2 linked regions of the Arabidopsis thaliana genome follow. The protein of the gene in region 2 purifies or fractionates together with the protein of the main gene of each other region. This does not show direct contact. Each region holds a gene or a part of one and is shown on either strand. Other genes may lie near its edges.

Region 1 (3,734 bases), 8.3 Mb from region 2:
TAACTAATAAGGTATTGTTGACAAGCTATAGTGACAATAATAAGGAGAAAACCAAAAGCTAACAATGATAATTCTTGGAGAGGATGGTAACTGAGTTAAGAGAGCTTAAACAACGTCGGTTTGTTCCATCGAGAAAATCTCTGAAGCACAACGACATCGCAACTATTCCACAAGTGAGAAGACCAGAAGAGAGAATCAAACTTGACCATCTTGAAAAGTCTAAGTTAGTTCCAAGAGCTTTACATGCAAATTTTCTTAGTCCCGGAGGATGATAGATGGAGACTAACATGGCTTGATCTTACTTCTTACTAACAATCTCTGTAGCACGTGCAGTGGAAACCAAGCCGATCAAACCACTAAGATTAGCAACAAACTCTACCGAGGATAAGTACAACTTCAAGAGGTATGACCAGAGATGCCCCAAAAAATCAGGAACATGACAGAAACTCGACTAAAATTCAAGTAAAGACCATAGAATTGTCTTAAGAGACATTCAAAGTTATCCCAGACAGTTACTTGTAAATAGCTCATTCCAAAACTTGTGAAGTAACGATTACCATATACAATGTCTAAAGCATTTCCAAAAAATGAGTTGTGCAAGGAAAAGACAAGGCAGTTATCAAGATGTAGAACACTAGAACTCAACAATCTTATACAGAAATATCCATCAGAGAAACAAAATCATCCATGTGTAAAAAACTCCCAGAATTTCAAAGTTGAAGTAACCACAATTCTGAAGAACAATTATTCCAGACTCAGAAAAACAACTGTAAAGTTTCATACTTTTGTTGCAAATATCAAAATCAAGCAGCTAAATCCTTCATCAAATCTTCATTGCTCCCTTCTTTGATCCCCAACTTCATCTGTTCTGCCACAAAGCACTTGGTGATCACATTACAGAACAAATACACAAACTTGACCGAATCACGAGCTGGCACAGGATACGTAATCTTCTCAAAGAACTCCAATGGCACATTCGGGTCCACAATTGCAACAACCGGAATCTGAAGCTTCGATGCCTCAAGTATCACAGAGCTCTTCCTCTCAGAATCAAACACAACGACACAATCAGGCATAGTAGTTGGACCAAAGCAAAGCTTTTTATGCCTAGATCGAAACTTCTTAGGACTGTAGCTGTTAGTCAAAAACCCTCCCATCTTCCACAGATTCATCGCACGGTTGTGATTATACGAATCTCCTTGGATCCGACGAGAAGTGAGCTCAATGATTTCGTCGAAGAGAGGATTCGTGTTGACGAAGAAGATGTTACCTCTCATGTGGGCGAGGTTAGCGACGAAATGAGCGGCGCTACGGAGGCAAATTAGGGTTTTGTCGGAGTCGATAATTGTCATTCCGTTACGCGTCCCGTAAGCGTATTGCTTGAAATGGTGCTCGGCGGCACGACGGCCGAGATGTGCTCCGGTGTTCAGAAGCTTCTGGATTACTGCAGCGTGAATCGTCATAGTTCGTCGTCGGAAAAACCACCGGACGGCAGCGAGAGGGTTAGGGTTTAAGAGAAATTCGCAGATTGAATTAGATCTGATGAGGAAGATGAAACATGGATGAATCTGGAGCCGTCGGGTCGGGTCGGTCTGGTCTGGTCGTGTTGGGTATGAGCTAATTACCGGCCCATTTCGGTAGATTTCAGATGCCTAAACCAAACATCGTAAACCGGATGACAAACCGGGTCGTTGACCAACAAAAGAGAAATAAAATAAATAGTAACGTATAAGAGAGATTAATCGAAATAAATAAAATTTCTGGGAAATTTGGCGGCGACAGTTTCCTTTGGATTTCAGATTTCGTGAGCTTATTCTTACCTTTCTCTCGAAGGAAGCTCTCATCTTTTCACTCAGATCACGTTCCCTGTAAGAGAATCGATCAAACCCAATTCGTAACTTTCCTTATAATGTATCTTAGATTCCAAAGTTTTTGGATTTGGTGATGTTTTTCTTGTCAAGTTTTCTGATTAGGGATTACAAAAAGTCGAATCTGAGATTTGGGGATTTTAAGCGATCCTGTTTTGTGTTGAGTCTTTTCGTTATCGCCCAATTAGGGTTTGTGGTGGAGCTCTGTTTGATCTTCTGAATTTTTTTAAAACGATTCAATGGTTGGTGACTTAGCGCAGATGCATCGCTTTGTAATTTGCTAGGTTGAAAAATTCTATCTTGTTCTGATTCCCGTTGAAGCTTCTAGTTCTAGGGTTCGTTTTCTCTTATTGATTTCTGTTTGCATGGGTCTGTTCTATGATCTAGTGTTGAAGAATTAGTGTCTAGTGTGCAAAAATTGGAAGACTGGACAAATGAAAAGCTTTAAATTATAATCGCATAGCTCCATTATCAAGACACTGTCTCCAATTTTCATGTTTTTGTTTGTTTGATCTTATTTCTGGTATAATGCAGGGGCTTATTCGCTTGTATCTGTTGATATACAAGATGGCATCTGCGACTCTGAGAAGGCGGCTTCATCACGGTGATGTAGATGGGAGGAAGTATGAACGCTATGATGCAACAGACTCTGAAACTTTAAGTGAACCCTTGTTAGGAAGTAGTAGTACTGATAATAGTAGAAATGAGTACATTGAGGTTAGTAGTTCAGTGTGTGTGTTTTTAATTAGAGATGAGAAGAACCCTTTTATGTATTATTACCTGTGGTGTTACTCTTAGGAGCGTACTCTGGAGGATATTTGGGAAGAAGAACGGAAGAGACAGCAAGTTCACTGGACGTTAATCTTTTCTCAGTTGATTGCACAGTGGGCTCAGTGGATAGGTTGGGCTTTTATTGTCTTGTTACTATCACTCCTTGATTTTTTAAAAGGGGGATTATCTCATTACAACTTGTTTCTTGGTTTGCAGCCAAAATAGTCTTTGGATCTGGCTCACTTGTTGGGAGGTTTCTTTCTCTGCCTACATTTGGTCAAATAGGTACTGGTGGGAGGCTTCTGCCACCACCTCTTAGTATGTTGCAGGTAATCTAAACGGTCTACCTTATCTTTTGAACATTAGATACCAAAAGATACGTTTAAGAGGACTATAATTCATCAGCCTATACCATATTCTTTTTTAAGTTTACATTTTCACATTAGGTTCTTGGTCTTAGCATTGTTGAGATAGCTTTAGTAGTTTGTGTAAGAATACTTTTGTAACTGTAAGAATACTTGTGTAACTGTATTTGCACTGTCTCATTTGTAGACTACAAATACTTTTTATTGGCTTGTGTTTGGAAGAATAATGGTAACTCTGGAAAACAAAGAGATGTATAGAATTAGAAAATTTATCAGAGTGTGTTTCTGCTTGGTGCCTCTAAGTCTCTTACTTGTGTATGTGGTTTATTAGGAAGCTTACTTAGTAAAATGATGACTTTCTCTTATGGTCTCAATTGCTTGTTTTTGTTGCTTTTTAAAATTTTACCGGTTTGTTTTGTTTCCAGTTATCCATGGTCAATTTGACTGTCACTGTCAATTTGATCTCCATTCTGTATTTTCTTGCCTCTTATTAGGAAGAAAGGCTGAGAAATATTAAGCGAAGAATAGAAATCCCATTTGATGGATCTCGAATGGAGCATCAAGTAAGTGTTCTCATGGACTCTCTGTTTGCTTGATTCTCTATATTAATTATGCACATGCAATGTTTTGTCGAAATTTATGTAATCTCATGATTCACAGGATGCTCTTAGACAACTATGGAGGCTAGCTTATCCACAGAGAGAACTACCACCTCTTAAATCTGAACTCT
Region 2 (3,755 bases):
ATCAGTCGGGGACATTGCGGCTAATAAGATTCTCCAGTTGAATCCGGATAGTATTGGGATCCAAACACTGGTTTCTAACTTCTTTGCAACTGCCAATAAGTGGAAAGAAGTGGCCAAAGTGAGGAAGTTGATGAGAAATGGGGCCATGGAGAAGGTACCAGGCTACAGCGCGATCGAAGTAAATGGGGAGCTTCGAACTTTTCTCATGGAAGATCTGAGTCACCATGAACATTATCACATGTTGCAAGTGTTGAGGAACTTGAAAACTGAGATAAGAGATGTATGTTCCGGAGTCGAATAGTTCTGTCTCTATGAGCATCCATTCTTATTTCAGTATGTATATATACATCCATTTCTGACTCATGTGGCCCTATTTTGGAGTGAGGTTTTAGTCAAAAACTCTAACAATACATTCCACGCGTTGAACAAGAAAACCAAACCGGGTCAATTTCAATTTTAGTGAGAAGAAAATACCAAGAGGTTCTTGGTCCCTTTGAGAAAAGCAGAGTACCAAAGTGCAAATTCAAGTTAATTGACAAATGTGAAAGAGACTTAAGAATTGAGACTTATTAAAGAGACTAAGAGAGTGATAAACCCCTTAAATAATGTATTGAGAAACCCTTACCTTTGTGGCTTTGTGACACTGGTTTGTATGGTTGTGGCGGACAAATTCGTTTGCGGATTGAACCATTTTATATATTATAGTCCGTAAGAGTATGGATTGAGACAAATAGAAGAAATCCGTCGTGGACCAATTTATATAAAATAAACTTGATTTGGGGTGGATTGTTGTATGTCCCAAAAATAGAGTAACGCTCCAAAACTAAATAACACCAAAAGAATTAAGAATGCACACGATCTCTTAGTTGTCTTTAGTCTTAACTAACCATATCACTTGACTACAAAAAATAAAAAGACACACTCACGTTGAGAAACTGATGAAGCTGAACGATCTGTCTTCTTTGATTTGATCTTTCTTATTTTTTCGTGAACAATCTCTAAAATATTCCCATTAAGGCATTAACCATGTGAAAACACTTGTACGTGTGGACTATATAGTTCACGTGTGTATGAGTACGGGAGCATTGAATAATTATCGCTACGGCAACCACAAATAAATTGATGTGAACAACGCTGAATACTTTCCATTTTTCAACTTTGTCTAGTAAAAAATTACTAAAATAATGTTCCAATTATGGTTTTTAGTGAACATCTTATTGTCATTGGTGATTCGATAATAGATGCTACGAGACATGTTATTTGTTCTTGGAAGAAAGAGGTACGTAAATTCTCAAAAGGGTCTTTCAGTGTAAAGAGGCAGCTTTGACTTTGCTAACACAAAAAGTCTCCATATGATTATTTTCTTTTTCTTTTCAGAAGTTAATATTCTCAATTTCTCATAAACATTTTCAATTCTTTCTTTTGTTATTGGTTGAATAATTTTGTTGAGTTTTATAAATGATGTTTTAATGTGAAAACCAAGAAACAATTGATCATTTAATTAGTTTCTTGATTAGTGTGCTAAAACCTTAAACATCAACTAAGATCAAAAAGAGATTAGGTAGTTGTGGTCAACCACCTTTGATGATAACTTTCTCATTTCTAGTTTTCTAACTATTTTGTTCATACTGCCTTTTTTTTTTCCTTGTACTCGTAGAACACTTTTTATTTACTTACTATCACTTTGTAGTACTCTTCACAAAACACTTTTAAGTTTTCTCTAAAAAAAACTATGAGTGTAAATAATAAAAGTATACGTACTAGCGTTAAATGGCGATATTTGTAAAAATAGTTATTGTACTATTTGTATCACAAAAATTGCAAGTAGTTGATTCAAATGGTAACCTATCTATAGACGAATTGGTACCAATCGTCACCAAAAGAAATTTCAGTTATTACTACTCATTAATCCGCTAAAATCCAAGATCAATAATTCACTAAATTCTGCTATAACATTGTAACATTGTTGCTATCAATAATCAAATTATTCTATTAGCATATAATTATTAGATCCACAAAACTTATCTACTAGAGCAGAAGATTCCACCAAAAGTTGCTTCCGACCCACATATCCAATTCTTTAGGACAAAAATATTTATTACAATCTTTTAAGAGGAAAACAATGTAACATGGACACCAAAATAAAGCCGCCTTTAACGGTGACGGTAACGGTAACGGCGTTTGAGTGCTCTTGACAATACATGAAAATTTAGTAATAGAGTTAAGAAATGAAATTAATAGAGTTTGGAGTGAGACAAAGAGAGAAGAGAAGATTAGAGAGAGGAGAGGAAGGGTCAAAGAATACATAGCATCACCACTAGTCAACGCTTTTATAAAACTTCTTCTTCGTCTCCTCTCCTTCTCACATCTCTCTCTGTCTTTCTCTCTCAAACCTAACAAAAGCTTCAGACTTCAATTCTTTAGCTACCTCTCTCCCATGGCAGTAAGTGTTTTCTTTCCTTCTTTCCTTCTCCTCTTCTTCTTATTTAGGTCTAGAGCTTTCTCTCAGATTATAGTTTTTGTTTCGATTCCGTCAATCTCTGACCCTTTTTTTGGAGGATTTGTAGAAAGTTGAGTCTTAATCTATTTGCATTTATGGTTCTTCCTATTGAGATAACATTTCTATGGATTGCGATGTCTATTAGTATTCAACTTTATGATTCTGATTTGCTTTAGATAAGAAAAGGGTTTTATGAAAGTTACTATTTTTATGGTAAAGTTTCTATTTTTGCTTAGCAAAGATTTCAACTTTATCATTGTACTTGGTCGAAATCGATAAACCCAATTTGTATTTGTTCTGTTTTGGATTCTTAAGTGAATTTGCTATCTTGTTTCTGTGATGATTGTTCTTTAGGATGTTATGTTATTGAATGTTTTGTGGAAGGACATTGTTGTTGAATTGTTTGTTGCAACAGCGTTCGAATGTACCAAAATTTGGAAACTGGGAAGCTGAGGAGAATGTTCCTTACACAGCTTACTTTGACAAAGCTCGTAAGACTCGAGCACCCGGTAGCAAGATCATGAACCCGAATGACCCGGAGTATAACTCTGACTCTCAATCACAAGCTCCTCCTCATCCTCCTTCTTCCAGAACCAAACCTGAGCAAGTTGACACGGTTAGAAGATCACGTGAGCATATGAGAAGCCGAGAAGAGAGCGAGTTGAAACAGTTTGGTGATGCTGGTGGTTCATCAAATGAAGCTGCTAACAAAAGACAAGGAAGAGCTTCTCAGAACAATAGTTATGACAACAAGTCACCTTTGCATAAGAATTCTTATGATGGTACTGGAAAATCTAGGCCTAAACCTACCAACCTTAGAGCTGATGAAAGTGTAAGAATCTCACTTTTAACCTCTAAAGTGAGAATATCTCTGTTTGTTGCTTATGTGTTGTCATCTGTTTATATATAGCCTGAAAAAGTCACAGTGGTGCCTAAATTCGGTGACTGGGACGAGAACAACCCGTCATCAGCTGACGGATACACGCATATCTTCAATAAAGTCCGTGAAGAGAGAAGTTCTGGAGCAAATGTGAGTGGATCTTCAAGAACGCCGACTCATCAAAGCTCCCGTAACCCGAACAACACTTCCTCAGTAAGACATTCTTTAAAACTCATTTTCAAGTATAATCATTAGTGAATACGTATTCAAATAGTGAGTGTGTGTTGAACATTGGTTTGTCTTGTGCAATTTGACAGTGTTGCTGCTTTGGCTTTGGAGGAAAATGAAAGGGACCGGAAGATTGTATATAGTTAT

The links. Proteins that work in one complex are often made in the same cells at the same time.
Region 1: the proteins of RIN4 (region 2) and RPS2 purify together in Arabidopsis thaliana (affinity purification with western blotting, with the first as the bait; one study listed by BioGRID). This does not show direct contact.

The regions. Positions count from the first base shown.
Region 1 is NC_003074.8:867,044-870,777, forward strand, and holds RPS2 (ribosomal protein S2), read right to left. Parts: upstream 1,664-3,734; 5' UTR 1,464-1,663; coding exon 804-1,463; 3' UTR 505-803; downstream 1-504. Other genes in the region: AT3G03610 (ELMO/CED-12 family protein), read left to right, coding at 2,108-2,110, 2,403-2,585, 2,667-2,769, 2,856-2,968, 3,499-3,567, 3,665-3,734.
Region 2 is NC_003074.8:9,130,021-9,133,775, forward strand, and holds the start of RIN4 (RPM1 interacting protein 4), read left to right. Parts: upstream 1-2,117; 5' UTR 2,118-2,437; coding exon of another isoform or gene 2,438-2,443; 5' UTR 2,444-2,870; coding exon 2,871-3,332; intron 3,333-3,410; coding exon 3,411-3,593; intron 3,594-3,697; coding exon 3,698-3,727; 3' UTR 3,728-3,755. Other genes in the region: AT3G25060 (Tetratricopeptide repeat (TPR)-like superfamily protein), read left to right, coding at 1-301.